Linked DNA regions of Danio rerio. The protein of the gene in region 4 interacts with the protein of the main gene of each other region in a biochemical or structural test. Links are inferred from orthologs where the notes say so. Each region holds a gene or a part of one and is shown on either strand. Other genes may lie near its edges. The genes, in order: mapk10, smad3a, runx1, jun and prkd1.

What was found.
Region 1: of the proteins of jun (region 4) and mapk10, one has a biochemical effect on the other in vitro, tested with the Homo sapiens proteins (7 studies listed by BioGRID and IntAct, with this or other methods). The link is inferred for Danio rerio from reciprocal best matches to the Homo sapiens genes JUN and MAPK10.
Region 2: the proteins of jun (region 4) and smad3a form a complex in vitro, tested with the Homo sapiens proteins (3 studies listed by BioGRID). The link is inferred for Danio rerio from reciprocal best matches to the Homo sapiens genes JUN and SMAD3.
Region 3: the proteins of jun (region 4) and runx1 form a complex in vitro, tested with the Homo sapiens proteins (2 studies listed by BioGRID). The link is inferred for Danio rerio from reciprocal best matches to the Homo sapiens genes JUN and RUNX1.
Region 5: of the proteins of jun (region 4) and prkd1, one has a biochemical effect on the other in vitro, tested with the Homo sapiens proteins (2 studies listed by BioGRID). The link is inferred for Danio rerio from reciprocal best matches to the Homo sapiens genes JUN and PRKD1.

What each region holds. Positions count from the first base shown.
Region 1 is NC_133196.1:10,935,852-10,939,976, forward strand, and holds the start of mapk10 (mitogen-activated protein kinase 10), read left to right. Parts: upstream 1-1,322; 5' UTR 1,323-1,532; coding exon of another isoform or gene 1,533-1,535; intron 1,536-4,125. UniProt on the Homo sapiens protein: Serine/threonine-protein kinase involved in various processes such as neuronal proliferation, differentiation, migration and programmed cell death.
Region 2 is NC_133182.1:34,183,120-34,186,122, reverse strand, and holds the end of smad3a (mothers against decapentaplegic homolog 3a), read left to right. Parts: intron 1-1,161; coding exon 1,162-1,285; 3' UTR 1,286-2,497; downstream 2,498-3,003. UniProt on the Homo sapiens protein: Receptor-regulated SMAD (R-SMAD) that is an intracellular signal transducer and transcriptional modulator activated by TGF-beta (transforming growth factor) and activin type 1 receptor kinases.
Region 3 is NC_133176.1:2,084,041-2,088,139, reverse strand, and holds the start of runx1 (runt-related transcription factor 1), read left to right. Parts: upstream 1-1,299; 5' UTR 1,300-1,608; coding exon 1,609-1,636; intron 1,637-4,099.
Region 4 is NC_133195.1:16,778,624-16,782,236, forward strand, and holds jun (transcription factor Jun), read left to right. Parts: upstream 1-1,251; 5' UTR 1,252-1,520; coding exon 1,521-2,447; 3' UTR 2,448-3,111; downstream 3,112-3,613. UniProt on the Homo sapiens protein: Transcription factor that recognizes and binds to the AP-1 consensus motif 5'-TGA[GC]TCA-3'.
Region 5 is NC_133192.1:30,457,357-30,460,875, forward strand, and holds part of prkd1 (serine/threonine-protein kinase D1), read left to right. Parts: intron 1-1,019; coding exon 1,020-1,181; intron 1,182-1,330; coding exon 1,331-1,429; intron 1,430-2,110; coding exon 2,111-2,378; intron 2,379-3,519.

The DNA.
Region 1 (4,125 bases), on a different chromosome or scaffold from region 4:
ATAAAGGTACAACATTATGGACGTTTTTGTCATCTCTAATTCGAGCATGCTTGAAAATAATTTGGATTTAATGATTAATATTTCCAGTTTAATAACCATCTGTAATAATGCACACAAGTATGCATATATTTCAGCAAAGATTAAAAGAATCGCATATGCATTCATTTACTATTTAAATGACAAATGTTAAATGATTTGGAGTAATGTAATGTTTTAGAAGCTCAAAATCGAAGCATAAAACATTTGTGCAGTTTGTTGCAAAATGGACTGCACTGAAGAAAAGAGTAAACCAATTAAAGCAAAATAAAATTGACTGAACTGGACAAAGAGTTCCTATATCAAAGACAAATAATGTCAAATAAGAAATTTAAAAAGCCCCTCAGGCTTTCCTTGCCTATTTTTATTTATTTATTTATTTATTTATTTATTTATTTATTTATTTATTTATTTATTTATTCATTCATTCATTCATTCATTCATTCATTCATTTAGTTATTTTTTTGAAGGTGGAAATCTGACATATGTTTCTTTGTTGCTTTAATAATCTGTGCATTTAGTTTAATGCAATGGCACATTGTGACTCTAAAACACATCTCTGTTAAAATGAGCCAATTACTGCAGGCTTTGGCAAAGTCCAAGGTACTGCTGTATGGACGTTGTCAGTTTTTCTAATTCGAGCATGCTCGAAAATAGTTTGGATTAAATGGTTATATTTACAGTATAATAACCATAACATATGAGTATGTTAGCCTACTTTCCATTGATTTATAACTGCTGCATACAATTGAACTCTAATTTTTGTCTTTTTTTCGTGTGTTTCTCTGTTTGTTCATTTATTTAAAAGTGCAATGTGTGCCAGAGCAAAAAAAACTAAAATTTGACCAAAATTAATCGTTTGAGAATATCATACTGTTTAATTCACTCGTTCTGATCTTGCTTTTACAATTTTCACAATTTTAAGCATATCCAGATAACAACACGCTAGATTCGATTTTAGTTATACTTTTTAATAGCCGCCCCCTAAGTCTCCTGTGAGGCGATTCATTCTAACTGATTCTTCGAACGAACCGATCGCTTCAAAAGAATCGCCTCGCTCTGTCTCTCTGCCCGCCTCCAAACACGCAGTCGGCGGTCATGTGCGCAAAGATCCGCCAATCTCCAGATGCGCGATCAGAGCGCCGCTCCTTTCCATCTCCTCCTCACTCCTATGAGACCGCTCTCGTCTTTGACGTCATCGTGTGCTCCCTCCCGTTGCCAGGCAACCCGTCTCCCGCACCCCCCACTCTCTCCTCCTCCTCCTCCCGTTTTGCCATCACTACGCTGGTAGGATCCATAATGGTACAGGCATCATCCTGCAGCACAATGGTGAGCGCGCAGTGATTCAGCATCGCAAACTCAGGCTTTAATCCAGCGTTAGACTTTCTTTTCATCTGTTTGATACAGTGGTTTTTAAAAGATTCGCCTGCCGGGATGTTTTGAACAGGACTGGACTGTCACCGGACCGGGATCATCGGACGGGCAGCTGGCACGGAATGGTAGGTCGGTCGGTCGGTGGGGAGATGTTGATGCGGGAACCTGAAGGGTGGGGTGATGAATATTGATCGAAATGAAGGTTAATGAAGTCGATGCTTTCGCGGCTTAGCCAAATAAATGATCCGTCACGAAGGTCGAACGATGTCCGAAATGGCAGGATTTCTCCGGTGTTTACCAGATCTGAGCGAGTGCGAGCGCACGTCCATCCGTGTTTTTCCTGCATCACTCGCGGTCCTGCATCATCATATGTCCTGTTTTCAGGGACCGCAGGCCTTTGTTAGAATATGGATTGATGGAATCTGGAGTCACAACAATGACGTGATTACGCAAAAGTCGATTCATTTACATGCGTTTCGGATGTTTGATTCCAATATTATATCATGTTGCATTTCAAAAAATGCAGAATTGCTAGTAAAATACTTTATATGGTATATTTTCACAATATGTCTCGCATTTGATGTTTTTAAGATGACTGAAGTGTATAGGTGCTGGAGTCTGAGATGGGCCATATGGTAATTTGTTTATTTATTTATTTAGTTCACGTTGGAAGCCTGAATAACAGGAAGCAGGGTTAAAACACACCTCATTTTGACACAGTTTGATCAAATTTGAAGTTTATTCCCAATTATGGTTGGATAACCACTATTTAGGAACAACAATTAAATATTAAATGCATGAAATGAAACATTAAAACATGTTTAGATGTTTTTAGATGTGTGATGCATGATGGAGCATTTTTTATAATAAATATTTTTGGTTTCCATTTTGAGATATCAAGAAATATTGAGTGAACATCACAGGATGTAATGATTTTTATGCACTCTAGTGCATAATGTTTCATAAGACTGCATGGAATAATAACTTCAAAATTTATTAAAATTCCAAAAGGGCATTTATATAAATGTTTTGATGCAGAAGTGGCTATGTTTGTTTATACATTACATTACATTAATATATTGACTTGAAGTTATTTATATTATGTATTGTGAGCTGAAATAAAATACATTTGCCTTTTTGAAAATTTCGTAAGATACAATATGACATTTTATTCTCAATGAAGCAATATTGGAATTAATAGGATATTAATAATCATATTTATTTTCAATCAATAGTTCTAGCATTTGATGCTTTATGCTGCAATTGATGCATATTTGAGTTCATGCTGGGGTCTAAGATGTTGAATATTTATTTTATCTTATTTTATATTTTTAGGAAGGCTACCATAGAGGTGTAAATCTATTAAAGTGTCATAAAGCAGTAAACATTTTACATATGAAGAGTTTAGATGCAAAAACCTCTAAGTGCCGTCTGAAATTTCCATTGAAAATAAACATTTTTCTCAGCTTCCTTTGTTAATGTTGAGTTAGTTCTCTTCAAAGACCATAAAAGAGAATTATTCTTTGCCATAAAAGTGATACTACTAAACATACACACAGGAGCCTGATAAAAATCATTTTAGAGGAAAATTTCAGACGGCATTTAGAGGTTTTTGCTACTAAACTCTTCATTTTATCAACTGAGTGCTTCACACTATGGAACAATCTTTCCATTTGGTATTTTGGACTATTTCGGTTTCCACTTTATGCGTTATATGTTATGCTTTTTATTAAACTATGTGGAATAATTCAAAAGTGCATGTACTGTACATGTATTTTTACTTTTTTACTCTGTGCCAAATATATATTATATATATATTTTTATATATTTGGTACAGAGTAAAAGTGGCTATGCATTAATTTACTGATTAAATGACAAAAGCAAAATGATTTGGAGCAATGTACTGTTTAATAAGTTTAAAAAAGAAGCATAAAACATTTGTGCAGTTTGTTGCAAAACCGATTGCATTTGTGAGAACAGTAAACTAATTAAAGCAAAAGGAATACACAAAGAGTTCCATTATCAAAGATTCATGTCAGATCTATAAAAAAAGCCACTCAGGCTTTCCTTGCCTATTTTTTAAAGCTGGAAATTTGACATATGCTGAAATATTTCTTGGTGCTTTAATAATCTGTGCTTTTGTTTTAATGCAATGGCACATTGTGGTATCCTCTGTTAAAATGAGCCAATTACTGCAGGCTTTGGCAAAGCGCTATGCATATTCTAAGGGACGGCCATGGACTAATCATCCGTAGCCCCCCCAAAAAACAACCCCATATGGCTAATTAGGCTGTTCCATTGTGTCTGTATATTGTTAAATCCCACAACACTGGGTACCCTGGTTATATTCGCCTCACGCTTCAGTGTCAGAGGTTGCGGCGATCATCTGAACTCTCGTATTCTCCAGGTACGCTGACATTTTGATTAGGATTAAGAGAGTGATTTTGTGAGGGAACTGCTGAAGGACAAAGCCTTGAGAAGCCGGTATTTTGTCTCCATGTGGCTTGAACGGTTCAGCAAACAATTCTTCTCTGTCAATGTTTTTTCAAGGACTTGACTCTTTTACCTCAATAGTTTATTGTAATGAATAGTATCTTGACCAATGTAGTCCACTACATTACTGTTATCTATATTTATTAGCTGGCTTGTTTGCTTAGTAAGTTATTCATATTGGATCAGTATCCTTCTCTCTATTTGCCCAGCCCCATTTAAAAT
Region 2 (3,003 bases), on a different chromosome or scaffold from region 4:
TGTCCCCTTCACTTTTACTGGGGCATTAGGACGTCCCCTGCTGGCCTCTCTAATACCACTTTCAACAGCAACCTAGTTTTTCCTATGTGGTCTCCCATGCAGGTACTGACCTGGCACAGGTCTGCTTAGCTTCAGTGAGTAACCGGTCTTAGGCTGCATGGTGATATGGCTGTGGCAATAATAATAATAATAATAATAATAGGCAACGCGGTGGCACAAAGGGTAGCGCTGTCACCTCACAGCATGAAGGTCACAGGTTCGAACCCCGGCTGTGTGGAGTTTGTATGTTCTCCCCGTGTTTGCGTGGGTTTCCTCCGGGTGCTCCGGTTTCCCACACAGTCCAAAGACATGTGGTACAAGTGAATTGGGTAGGCTAAAAATTGTTCACAGTGAATAAGCGTGTATGGATGTTTCCCAGTGATAGTTTACAGCTGGAAGGGCATCCGCTGTGTAAAACATATGCTGGATAAGTTGGTGGTTCATTCCACTGTGGGGACCCCAAATTAATAAAGGGACTAAGTCGAAAAGAAAATGAATGAATGAATAATAATAATACATTTAAACTAAGTGGTTAACTCAGGTGCTGGTTTTTGGTCTTATTTATTTGTTTTGTAAATTTGCATTGATCTTATTGACATGAAATGTTGTGACTTTTCCTACACTTGCTTCATACTTAAGTGCTTATAACTTAAATTGGCAAATGTGCTTATCATTGGATGCTGGATAAGTTGGCGGTTCATTGCACTGTGGCGACCCCGGAATAATAAAAGGACTAAGATGAAAAGAAAATGAATGAATGAATGAAATACTTGAGCCATAACTTTAATTTACTGCAAAACTGATGCCTGTCACAGTCATATTTTCTCTTATAATGTTAATTATGTAATGATTTATATAAACAAATTCAAGCAGCAAGAAATACATTTCATTTTTTGGAGCTTGCCTTTACAAGCATTCAAGCCAGCCCCTTTCCACTTCATTTGGCCTAAATAAAATCATATACCTTTCAGATTTTATTAAGTTAGGCTGTCTGTAGATGATTAGATTACACTGATCTGATGCAGTACATATATTTGAATATGGCTAAGTGTATTCATAGTTTTGCACATTGTGTCGGCATTCTGATTTCTAATTATTTCTCTCTCTCTTTAATGGCGTCAGGCGGCAGACAGTGACTAGCACCCCCTGCTGGATAGAGCTGCACCTTAACGGGCCTCTGCAGTGGCTGGACAAAGTACTCACTCAGATGGGCTCCCCCTCCATCCGCTGCTCCAGTGTGTCATAGGAAGAAAAAAAGACTGCACAAACTCAACATATACAAACCACCAGATCTGGAAAAAGTTCCTTCAGGACTCAAAGGCTGGAGATTACAGACTCGGTAGCACTTTCACATGTGTTTGTTTCAATGTTGGAGACATTGTATTATTACAGTATATGTACAGTACATACTTGTTTTTTTATGTTATTGTTAGCCATTTTTATTGCCATGAAATATTGCCATTTATGATATATTTTGTTATATAGCATGTCTATGTGAGATATCTCTTCTCTGTCATGTCTTTTCTGATGCTGTTATGTTAGAATTACCATAACAGAGGCTTATTTTTTTAGAGGCGTGATAAAAAGTGCTTTTTTTGTAAAGTGTAGATATGTCGTTTTTACAAATTTCGGTTAAATCAAAACAACACAAATCTGGCCCAATGTATAATGTTGTCTAATACATATCAAGAGTTTGACATTCTTTAGTTAGGGATGGTTTACATAAAATGAACATTTTAAATCAAGTGAACATTTACTCAAACTCAAGTGGTTCCAAATTTTAATGGATTTCTTCTGTTGAACACAAAAGATATTCTAAGAAATGATGGGGGAAAAGTAGCCCTCATTCATTGTACAAATAAAAAAAACTATAAAAATCAACAGCCGTTGTATCCCCTGCATTTATCTCTCTTTGTGTTTAACAGATTTAAGAAACTCAAACAAGTTTGGAACAAATGTAGAATGAGTAAACGATGACAGAAGTTTCATTTTTGGGTGAACTGTTTTAAGAAAGAAAGAAGAAAAAGAAAGAAACTCTTTGACTCATTTTTCTTTTTTTTTTTTAGAATTCTACTCAAACATTGAATCCCCAAATTAATATCTGATACATATCAAGAGTTTGACATTCTTCTTGACGGGATACTTTACATAAAAATGAAAATTTTCAAATAATTTACTCACACTCAAGTGGTTCTAAACCTTTATGAATTTTGTCTTCTGTTGAAAACAAGATATTCTGAAGAATTTTGGTGGAAAATCAGCCCTTGACATTGACTGTACAAACAAAAAATACTATAAAAGTGAAGAGCTGTTTCGTTCCTACATTCTTCAGTATATCTTCTCGTGCGTTTAGCAGAAGCAAGAAACTCAAACAAGTTTGTAACAATGAGTGGATAATGAGTAAGCGATGACAGAAGTTTCATTTTTTGTCCCTTTAAAAAAGAAAGAAAGAAAGAAAGAAAGACTTTGAGTCCTTTTTCTTTATTTTAAGAATTCTGTTCAAACATTGAATCCCTAAATTAATGTTGAATACACATTAAAAGTTTGAGATGTTCTTCTTGAAGGGAAAATTTGCATAAAAAAACGTTTAAAAAAAAAACGTTTTTACCTCTTTACTCACATTTGAGTGGTTTCAAACTTTTATAAATGGTTTCTTCTGTTGAACACAAAACAAGATATTCTGAAGAATGTTGGGGAAAATAGCGCTTTACATCCACTGTACAAACAAAAAATACTATAAAAGTCAAGAGCTGTTTTTCCGTACATTCTTCAGTATATCTTCTTCTGGTGTTTACCAGAAGAAAGAAACTCAAACAAGTTTGGAACAAGTGGAGAATGAGTAAACGATGATAGAAGTTTCATTTTGAGTGAACTGTCCCTTTAAAAGAAAGAAAGAAAAAATAAAGAAAGAAGGAAAGACAGTCTTTGACTTCTTTCTCTTGTTTTATAATTCTGTTCAAACGT
Region 3 (4,099 bases), on a different chromosome or scaffold from region 4:
TATTATTTATTTATTTTATTTATTAATATTATAATTTATTATTTTTATTTATTATTCCATTAGACAAATTTCTATTTAATTAATTTATTTATTTTGATTTCTTGGAACTTGATATTGTGTCAACTTTTTTGTTTATGATCGTCACTGTTATAATATTTTCATAGTTTTCTGGTAGTTTTATTATTATCTTATTTTATTAATAATATGTGTATATATATATATTAGTTTACTGAACTGTGGTTTGAATGATCAGCATTGCGTCAGTGAGACGAACAGGCTGGCGTTTTGAAGCTTTTCTGCTTGTTCTGCTGATATCATGTTCCTTCTGATAAAAAAATACAAAACAAAATCTGCTGGTACAAAACAATCAGCTATTAGCAAACACAATCCTGCACACTGTTTCCAAACATGTTTATATGATAATACTTTAAATATACACAAATTGAATAAAGATGATAAACATAAATAATTAATAATGATTATACTTTAAGAATATTTGGTGTATTTACTTTATTTCTGAAAGGTTTGGCCGTAAATTAAACAGTGACTGAAGAAATCTAGAAGGAATACAGCTGTTCATCAACATCAGCAAACCTTAATTTTAGTGACACTTTACTATAATAATTATTATTTTTACATTACTGTGAGGGTTAGAGTAGAGGTAGACATTATTAATTAAAAAATAATTGGTAATTTAATATATAATATAAATAATTCTCTGTATAATTATGTTTTTACATTACTGTTAGGGTTGGGGAAGAGGTAGACATTAATAAAATACAATTTAATGGGTAATTTGATGAAAAACACCAATAATACTCTGTTTAATTACTGGTTTACATTACTGTGATGGCTGGGGTTGGTGAAGACGTTAATAAAATACTTTTAAATTATATTTTAATAAATAATAGGAATATTACTTTGTAATAATCACTGTTTTTACATTACTGAGCTGGTTTGGACGTTAATAAAATGCAATTTAATGGGTAATTTAATAATAATACTCGGTATAATTGCTGGTTTTACATTACTGGGATGGCTGAGTTCATTTATTCGATAAATAATTCCCGTTTACTTCAAGCCGCAGCTGTATCCCTTCTAGCAACAACCACGCGCGAGGAATTCCATTGACTGCTTAGACCCATTTCTCCCCCCCAATTCGGTCTGACCTCTGATTGGTCGAGCCCATCGAGGTCTGTCATCGCTATCCAATGATAGCGCTCCAGGGGTTTGGCGTATGCAAATTGGCTGTCCTGGCTGGCGTTCCTGCGCTGCCCATTGCCAGTAAAAGCGCGTCGCTGCCGGAGATTCATTCACAGCGCATCATCTGATCCAGGAACAGCACTTTCTCTCACTGGTCCTTCTTTTTTAGTTTTTTTAACCCAGCTAGTACTTTTGTAGTCAGTTAAAGAAAGCGAAAGTGTTTGCGTCAGGTGCGCGCTCTAACTTTCTAAAGGATACGCGCGTGGCCGATGATGATTTCTGCTGAAAGAGGAACAGCATCTGCGTAAAAACTGATCTGAGTTCAGCCCACTTCACACCGAACAGCAGGGTTGTTAAGAGCTGTGGATCCCCATCCCGAAACTCACGGAGACAAAAACATACCAAATGGTTTTTCTTTGGGACGCCAAATACGGTAAGAGCGCTTCTCAGATCGGGACAGTCACTCGCGCGTTCACGGGGCTATTTTTACGCGTCATGTTTCATCACGTCTGAATGTTTATTACAGTTACTAATCACGAAAACCTGTAACCTCAACCCTAATAATGCGACGTCAAAAGCTGAAATCAGTTCTGTTTGCGTATGATTAAACTGCAGAAATAATTAAACCTGTAACCTCTACCTTTATATTGATGGTAATGTGACATTCATGTTCATCAAAAAACTGTTTACGTAAAAAAGTCAGTTTAAGTTTAGTATTGTTTGCTTATTATTGAACTGTGTAGAGAATAAAACCTGTAACCTCAACCTTATTAATGATGCCATGATTTGTACATTAAAAAGTGTAGTTCTGTTTGCCTGTTATTGAACTGCACAGAAAATGCCAGAATATGAAATGCAAATTGATCAAGAAAGTAGTTCAAAAATAGTATTGCAGTAAAATTGGAAATGAGGAAATTGAATTAATAAATGCATTAACTAACTAAAAAGAGTAATACAATGGAAACTGATGGAGAGATATAATGTGTTATTCAGAAAATGCAGATTAATGAAAACTACAAAATAAAATAATGAAAGTACAAAAAAGTATATTATTTTATTATTTTTTTATGTAGGTATATATTTTCCATGATAAACTTAATCAAATTCCTGAAATTAAAGTGATTTTTTATTACTGTTGGTGAGTTTTTTATATATATCTACAAACCCTAAAAGACCTCAAGAATAACTAAAAACTAAACTAAAAATACCAAAATAATCTCAAACTGTCTTAAAATTTGAGGGGAAAAAAAGAAATATATATATATATAATGTGTATAATATAAACATCTGATATTTAATTATATTTTTTTAAGAATTTTGGTCAGTGTGGATGGTGTAAACAAAATGCCTTGTCACGACAAAAGAAAACCATGAAAAAGAACTGGGATGAAAGATGATATTTTCATCAATTTTATTTATTTATTTATTTTCGTAAATACAATAGGCTATTACATTTCAACCTTTTTATAGAAACTGGTTTTATTCGGGTCAAAAGAACATTCTGTAATGCAAATATTATATTACATGTGAAGTAGTTTGTACATTAAATAAACACGTAGCTGAAGTGATTATTAGTAAGACACTTAAAATAAAACATCAGATTTTGGGACAGATGTGTGTGTGTTTATTTATATATATATATATATATATATATATATATATATATATATATATATATATATATATATATATGTTGTGTATGTATATATATATATATATATATATATATATATATATATATATATATATATATATAATTTAAAGTGGTATGTATATTTAATATTTAATAATTATCTGTTTTTTCTATTTCTTGCAGCTTGAACTTATGTCAACTGTTTTGTTAATTAACATTATTCTTATTTTTTATATAAGCTATTTTTTTATTTTATTATTCAAGTCTTTGTGCACTCAATTGAGTCTGCCGTTTGTTCAGACTACTTATTTAAAATGAGTTAAAGCAACACAATTCTTGATTTTTTTTGTTTTGGGGGGGGGGGGGGTAATTATTTTGTTTATTCCACTTAAATTTGTAAAAAAAAAAAAAAAATGTAAAAAATATACACTAAATATATAGGGTAATAATAAAAATGCCAGAAAAATAACAAAATGATGATAATGATAATGTCAATAAACAAAAAAGTTGGCAAGATCAAGTTCCAAGAAATGAAATTAAATAAATAAGTAAATAAATTCAATTAAAAAATTAGCTTAGGAAATTTTTGGTCAATATATAATAATAATAATAATGTCAATAAACAAAAAAAAGCTGAGTCAATGTATTAAAAAAAAACAAATTAAATAAAAAATTAATTAACTTAATAGAGCAAATTGAATTATTTGTGTTGAACCCACCATTTATTTACAATGTGTTCTCCTAAAATAGTGATTTTTAGTGTAAATGTTTTTAATATTAGACAATTTAGCAGACATTCACTTGTAGATACACTTTTTTATTTACAATCATAAACCTTTTGGCAATTAGACATTTAAACAAGAGAGAAAAACAACCAACAGTCATACAAATAATAATTAAACAAAAGGATTTTCTCCAGCCACACCTGAAAAGAGTGATTATTATAGTTGTGATATTTCTGTTGCTCCTGAATTTCTGCAAATGCACGTCTGCCGCTTTTCCACACCTCATCTCTCTCACACCAACCAGCCATCAACAAACTCCAGTTTTAGCCTGATGTAGTGGTTGTGTTTATATTGGGCTGTGTGTTTGGAGGGAGCGCAGGTTTTGGAGACGGGTTTTAACCGCACTCATGTGGCATCGATTGTGGTTGGCCGAATAACCGCGGGCCGCTGCGATGTCTGACGCTCCTTTTGCCTGTTTTTTTCTCTGCACGGAAGTCCTCCACCGTGGTAACAGCAGTGTTAAACTATCCTTTAAAAA
Region 4 (3,613 bases):
TCTCAACATTACCTGTATATTTATCTTACTAATGTTGTTATAAATACAAATAAACTAGCTATTGTGTCTTTACATACGTTTAAGCAACGTCAGTAAAAATCTCAGAAAGTAAACTGAAACGTCACTTGTCAGCTGTCACGCTATATTCGATCAGTTTGTGGTTGTGGTTGACGCAGTGACGTTTAACAGGGTTGTTTGCACTTTTGAGAGGATCTCTAGGGACTGTCACGGATACGGCGGCTGGACTTTGTGGCACGCTGTCACTCCACAATAAGAAACGCCCCCATTTTTAGACCATTGGCTGACGGAGCAAATGCACTTTGGCATAAAAAAGCAGACTATAGCCCTGTTTCTTCGTGCCAGATTAAATTATGTATGCCTGTATAACACTGAGGTTTTTAAACTAGGGTTCGGGGACCCCCAGGGGGCCAACAAGGGAGTGCTGGAAGTGAAGAAGAGTAAAATTAGCAAATACTAATTAATTCATAATATATTTCAACGACTGATTAAAAAAAAATACTTTTAATCAGCTAATCTAACATTATATTCAAACAAAATGAGTAACATCAAGTTATGCTTATTTAATTTATTATTTCAGAAGGCATTTCTTCTATTTTTTTTTCGTTTTAAATCTCCCTCAACATTTTATTGTAAGGTTGGAAATTAGTTTCACTGACTCCAAACTGTATTTCTAATATATATTTTTTACCTTACTGATGTATATGCAATACATTAAACTGGATCCAGAGAGTGTTTGGAACTTGCTGTTGTTAAAGAATGGCCGCGTCTTGCGAAACTCGCGCAAGAATTGGTCAACTCTCAAACATACAGCGGCACACATTTATTCTGCCTCTTCTTCTCAAACTTATAGTAAAGTTTAAGTTCTAAAAGTGGCGCGTTGTACATTACTCTGCTTCTTTGTATCCCGCCACGGTCTAAAACAGCTAAGCGGGTAACCAGATATTCAAAAACAATACGTAATCCCACAATGCACTGCTTTACAGCATTACCTCATCCCATCAGGCACCGCGAGTAGAATCTTCTGGGTGGTCGTCTAGGCAACGCGCCTTATCTGAAATTGTGACACGCCCAGTAAAACGCCTCCAGCCAATGAGAGGCTGCGCGCATTACATCATTTCTATTTTTAGTGGGGCAGCGGTAGCAGATAAGGTTTGCCTCCACGCTGGAGAAGCTCAGAGTATACAGACCTCGCCACAGTGAAACACCTCACTCAAACCAACATAAATAAGCCTTCGGCTAAGCACTGTTTATCTGCTGGTGTCTGAGAAGCGCGACAGCGGCGGAGGAAGAACTTTCTATCCGCGGAAGGCAGGAGGAGACGAGCCCGTGACACTGGCGATAACTTTACGCAGTAAGTTTCTCGCGGGACGGGGAGTTGAGGAACTTTTCCAATCCTCTCGCTTTTGTTCCAAACACCGCAGCGCTCGTTACTGAACGCGGACAGTGCTTAACAGCGCCTAAAAGACTGCTTCTGAACTAAAAGTTTCGCTTTGCCTTCTATGTCTACCAAGATGGAAACTACTTTCTACGATGACTCTCTAAACAGCGCTTTCTCTCAGCATGACAGCGCCACTTTTGGATACAACCACAAGGCTCTGAAACACAACATGACGCTCAATCTGTCCGACCCCGCGGGGAACCTAAAGCCCCACCTGAGGGCCAAAGCCAGCGATATCCTCACTTCTCCCGACGTGGGACTTCTCAAACTGGCATCACCGGAGCTGGAGAGGCTCATCATCCAGTCTAGCAACGGCATGATCACCACGACGCCAACTCCGACCCAGTTTCTGTGTCCCAAGAACGTGACGGATGAGCAGGAGGGGTTCGCGGAGGGCTTTGTGAGGGCACTGGCTGAGCTGCACCACCAGCACATGCCCAACGTCACCTCGGCTCCCCAAACTACTATCAACAGCAGCATGGCACCGGTCTCGTCCATAGCGGGCGGTGCGGTCTACAGCTCAGCCATGCGCGCTGATCCGCCGGTTTACGCGGATCTGAACACGTTCAACCCTGCTATCAGCAGCAGCTCGGCCAATCCAGCCGCGATGAGCTTCCCGAGCGCACCACCGCAGCTGCCCGTCCAGCACCCGCGCCTCCAGGCCCTGAAAGAGGAGCCCCAAACGGTGCCCGAGATGCCCGGCGAGACCCCACCGCTCTCTCCTATCGACATGGAGAGCCAGGAGCGGATTAAAGCCGAGAGGAAGCGCATGAGAAACAGAATCGCCGCGTCCAAATGCCGGAAGAGGAAACTGGAGAGGATCTCCCGGCTGGAGGACAAAGTCAAGACCCTGAAGTCGCAAAACTCGGAGCTCGCGTCCACCGCCAACATGCTGCGCGAGCAAGTGGCACAGCTCAAGCAGAAAGTCATGAACCACGTCAACAGCGGCTGCCAGCTCATGTTGACACAACAGCTGCAAACCTTCTGAGGAGAGCCGAAGGACATTTTGAGTTCAGCCACATAAACAAACTTCAGGGGCTTGATGTCTGCGATCTGGCGCGACAGAGCCCGCGGGGACCGGGACCGTCCGGCCGGCCGCGTGCCGTTAAAGGATGATCCGACTGGACTTTTGAGGAGCGCAAAACTTCACTCGGTCCGACAGAGACGCAGAGCGCATGAGACTCACTCTGTTACATGTTTTACTTTCTGACGAAATCCTTGTTCACATCGACCAGGTTGTGCATGGACCTATACGCTTCAAAGGAGCACTCAGTATTATAGGAGTAAAACAGAGACGCGACTGCCGTACAGTAGGGATACTGGCTCACCAAGCAGGACGTTGTGTCTGCTAAACTTTTGATAAAAAAGCTGCCTGACTTCTGAGCTACATATTGTACTTTTTTTGTTGTTCTTAAATTGAACGGAAATCGACTTTTTTCCTTTTGAGTTAGTCCAACTTAAGCAGTTTCTTTTTCTAAAAAAAAAGTTCATTAATGAGGTTTCACTCATTGTTATTTGTAAATATGATCAACCAGGAGTACTTAAGTTTACCATTTGTAAGTAAAGTACAATAATTTTTTATGTTTGTTTTCTGAGCACCTCAGAAACTAATCAATATTTATGAACTGTAATAAAGTATGTCAAATGAAAAACAATGTCTCTGTTGTCTTAATGGAAATGACGCTTGTGTGTGTATGTGTGTGTGTGTTCAAATTGACAAACATGTAATAACATGTTTTGGAAGAGACTGGCTGTTTTGTAAAGTCCACAGACAGGACTGGGAAAAAAGGGTGTCAAAAAACATCCTTACAGTAATTAAAAATAATAACATTATAAATACATGCTTAATTGCTAAAGGTTAAATGCAAACTTAATATAACATTTTTACATCAAAATAAAGCAGACACATAATTTGATTGACTCTTTAAATCAGTAATGCTGAAATTATCAAGTAATTATCACACAGTCAAGTACTAAATAGACCAATGCCTTTAATCATGGCCTCATTTTTGTGTCAACTGAAACAAAAGTTTATTAAGGTTAGTGTTAGCCTGCAAATATGTTAAAAAAAATTGTAGAAGTTGAAGATGTATACAAGTTTTAACAATTTAACCAGCAACAATGACTTAATATTAAATTAATAAATGGTTGAAA
Region 5 (3,519 bases), on a different chromosome or scaffold from region 4:
CAGAACAAACCATCATTATACAATAACTTGCCTAATTACCCTAACCTGCCTAGTCAACCTAATTAACCTAGTTAAGCCTTTAAACGTCACATTAAGCTGTATAGAAGTGTCTTGAAAAATATCTAGTCAAATATTATTTACTGTCATCATAGCAAAGATAAAATAAATTAGTTATTAAAAATGAGTTACTAAAAATATTATGTTTAAAAATGTGTTGAAAAAATCTTCTCAAATTAAACGGTCAAATAAACCTTCAGAAATTGGGGGAACAAATGGGGCTAATAATTCTGACTTCAACTGTACTTATAATATTATAAATACAGGTCAGAATAAGTATGTTGTTTGATTTTTTTTTTTTTATATTTTAATATAAATGTTACACTAAATACCAATGAAACATATTCACTTTTTGACACGCATATATATATATATATATATATATATATATATATATATATATATATATATATATATATATATATATTTTTTTTTTTTTTTTTTTTTTTTTTTTTTTTCATATTAAATCCCAGAAGTGTAAATCAGACACATTGATAGTGATTCTCTTAACCAGTAATTAAATATTTGCATTGAAGATAAATTAGATTCAGGCTCTTTCAATTAATAGACTGACAATATAATATTATATGCCTATTTTAATATGAATGAACATTCACACAACCAGTTACATTTTTATTTTACTAATAAATGCAATCTAAAATATAATGTGAGCATGTAATTGAACTCATTCAATTGGGTATCTTGCAACAACAAAACATATACTTATTTTATATAATAATAAAAATGATTAATGTGGAAAAAAGGTCGATGTTGCTATTTCAGAAAGTTGATGTTGATATATCAGATCATTTATATTATTAATTTGACTGATGTATCAATTCGTCTATTTATAATAATTAGCCACAGATTAAAAATGGCATCAGATTAAATGGCAATATTACTATACAGTTTAATGAAATGTACTGTATATATGTGACGTATACTACATCTGTTTTGTGCAGAACCTCCATCATCCTGGCATTGTGAACCTGGAGTGCATGTTTGAGACACCCGAGCGTGTCTTTGTTGTCATGGAAAAGCTCCATGGCGACATGCTGGAGATGATCCTGTCAAGTGAGAAGGGGAGGCTTCCAGAGCGCATCACCAAGTTCCTTGTATCGCAGGTACATATCTGCGCAGGAATCACTCATATAAACATTTAAAGCCAGAATCAAGCGTAAAGCTGGACCTTTTGCTTTTGCATTCTTTTATTTACCATCTCCTATGTTTTATTCCGCATTGTAATAACAACATTGTTCTGCTCCTCTCCCAGATTCTGGTCGCTCTCCGGCACCTTCACTTCAAAAACATTGTTCACTGTGACCTCAAACCCGAGAATGTTTTGTTAGCCTCCGCTGACTCCTTTCCACAAGTGAGTAAAACCCGAGCAGAGATAGAAGCGACAACAAAAGAAAGGAAATATCTGAATGAAGTGAGGCCACACCGAAATTAACATAAATGGATCTGTTTTTGTAAATGCGTGCGAATAAAAGATGGTAATTATAGCGTTCTCATGGTGTGTTCGAGGCACAGGGTTGTGTGTGTCTCTACATTCTAATGAAAGATTTCTAAATTATCCTCCCATTGTTTCTTCTGTCTGCCGCACAAGCTCGTCTCTGGAAGCTCTCAAGCAGAAGGATGACTCACTGTTTGAGCGCGGGCAAACATTTCGGAAGAATACTAAACAAATCACCGCGTGTCATTTACAAATATTTTGCAGAACCCGAGCTGTCAGCGTCTGAGCTCGGTCCTCAGGTGCTTGTTGCTGTGCTTAAGAGAATCTTTTAAAGGTGGAAAGTGGAGATCAGCAGGAGATACATTGTAACCACATCCAACTGGGTGATAATTTCACTTGACTTTCCTTCAGTCCGTGACAACTGATCATTACGGCGTCTGTGGTGTTAAAAAGCTAGCGCGAGAACAAAGGGATGTTATTTTGGGGGGGGGGGGGGGGGGGCTCTTTTGTGCATCTCGGTCCTAGTCGAGTGAAATAGCCAGTTCTTCTTGTCGTCTGCTTATTGGAAAGCTCATTATTCGCTGATTTGTCTTGCAGGTTAAGCTCTGCGATTTCGGCTTTGCACGTATTATCGGAGAGAAGTCTTTTAGGCGTTCGGTGGTTGGCACTCCGGCGTATCTCGCCCCTGAGGTGCTGAGGAACAAGGGTTACAACCGCTCGCTGGACATGTGGTCGGTGGGTGTCATCATCTATGTCAGTCTCAGTGGAACCTTCCCCTTCAATGAGGATGAAGACATTCACGACCAGATCCAGAATGCTGCCTTCATGTACCCACCCAACCCGTGGAAAACAGTGACCCCAGAGGGTGAGTTTTGGGGAGAATGAGATCTTCTATGTTGCACAAGCACCAATAAATTTGGAGATTAGCTTTTTCATTATGTATTTACCCTTGTGTCAATCCAGACCTCAAGAAAATATTCTGAAAAAACACCTCAAACTGTTCTTAGTCACAAATCATTGTCATTTTAAACACTGCCTTTAATCTCGGCTAAGTATTTTAAAGGTAAAATTAGCACTGTGTTTAGCTAGGGTTATAAAACACACTGGATGTGCCAATCGACGACGCAACGCACCACACAGCGCCATGCATTTTAGAATTCTAAACAAAGTCGCAAGTCAATGGCTGTCCATGGTGCCCAGCTATGATGACTCAGGACACTGTTCATATTTCTGCAACGTTCATTTTAATAACATGCCAATGTGCACGTCTGGTGTGCGATGCTTTTAACAGTCATGTGCGTGCCGTGTTGCAGCGCTGAGCAGCGCATCCAGTGTGCAACCCTCTTTAGCAACACTCTTGCAGTGTTAAAGGTATGATTAATTGAAAATGCAATTAATCATAAATGTGATTGTCATGAACACCTTGTTAGAAAAGCATGATTGTGTTTAGTAGTAAATTTCCTCCAAAGGCCAGAGGGCGCTTTTGTGCAGAAACTCCAAACATGAAGAAACCCAGGCAATCCCCATAGCTTTGCATAATTAAAAGAAATTTTAGCTGCTTTCATTAATTCAGTGACTAATAATCACATGAATGAACTCGTCTCACAGAAGGATTTATTTCAAACAATCTACTGAATTTAGTGAAATCACTGAACACTCGAAATAATTACATTTGCTGTTTGTTCAAACAACGTATTTAAAAATTTTTGTGACAACTTAATTGTTTTATGTTCAATCCACATGAATTTGTAAAAAGTGATATGTTAACTTAATTCCTTTATGTTGTCGGAACACTAACTGTGTGAAACCCAGCATGTTTTAGAGTGAAGTAAGTTGGGAGTAAAAGATGTTTTAAAATATGGTATTCTCACATGCAGCATTTACTACACACAACGGTAGTTCACCAAGAAGTGCACAAACAGCTGTTATTATCACAGAATGATTATCTCGATTGTGTTATTGCCCAATTCATTCAATTTTAATTTTAAGCACTTGGCTTGTCAGTG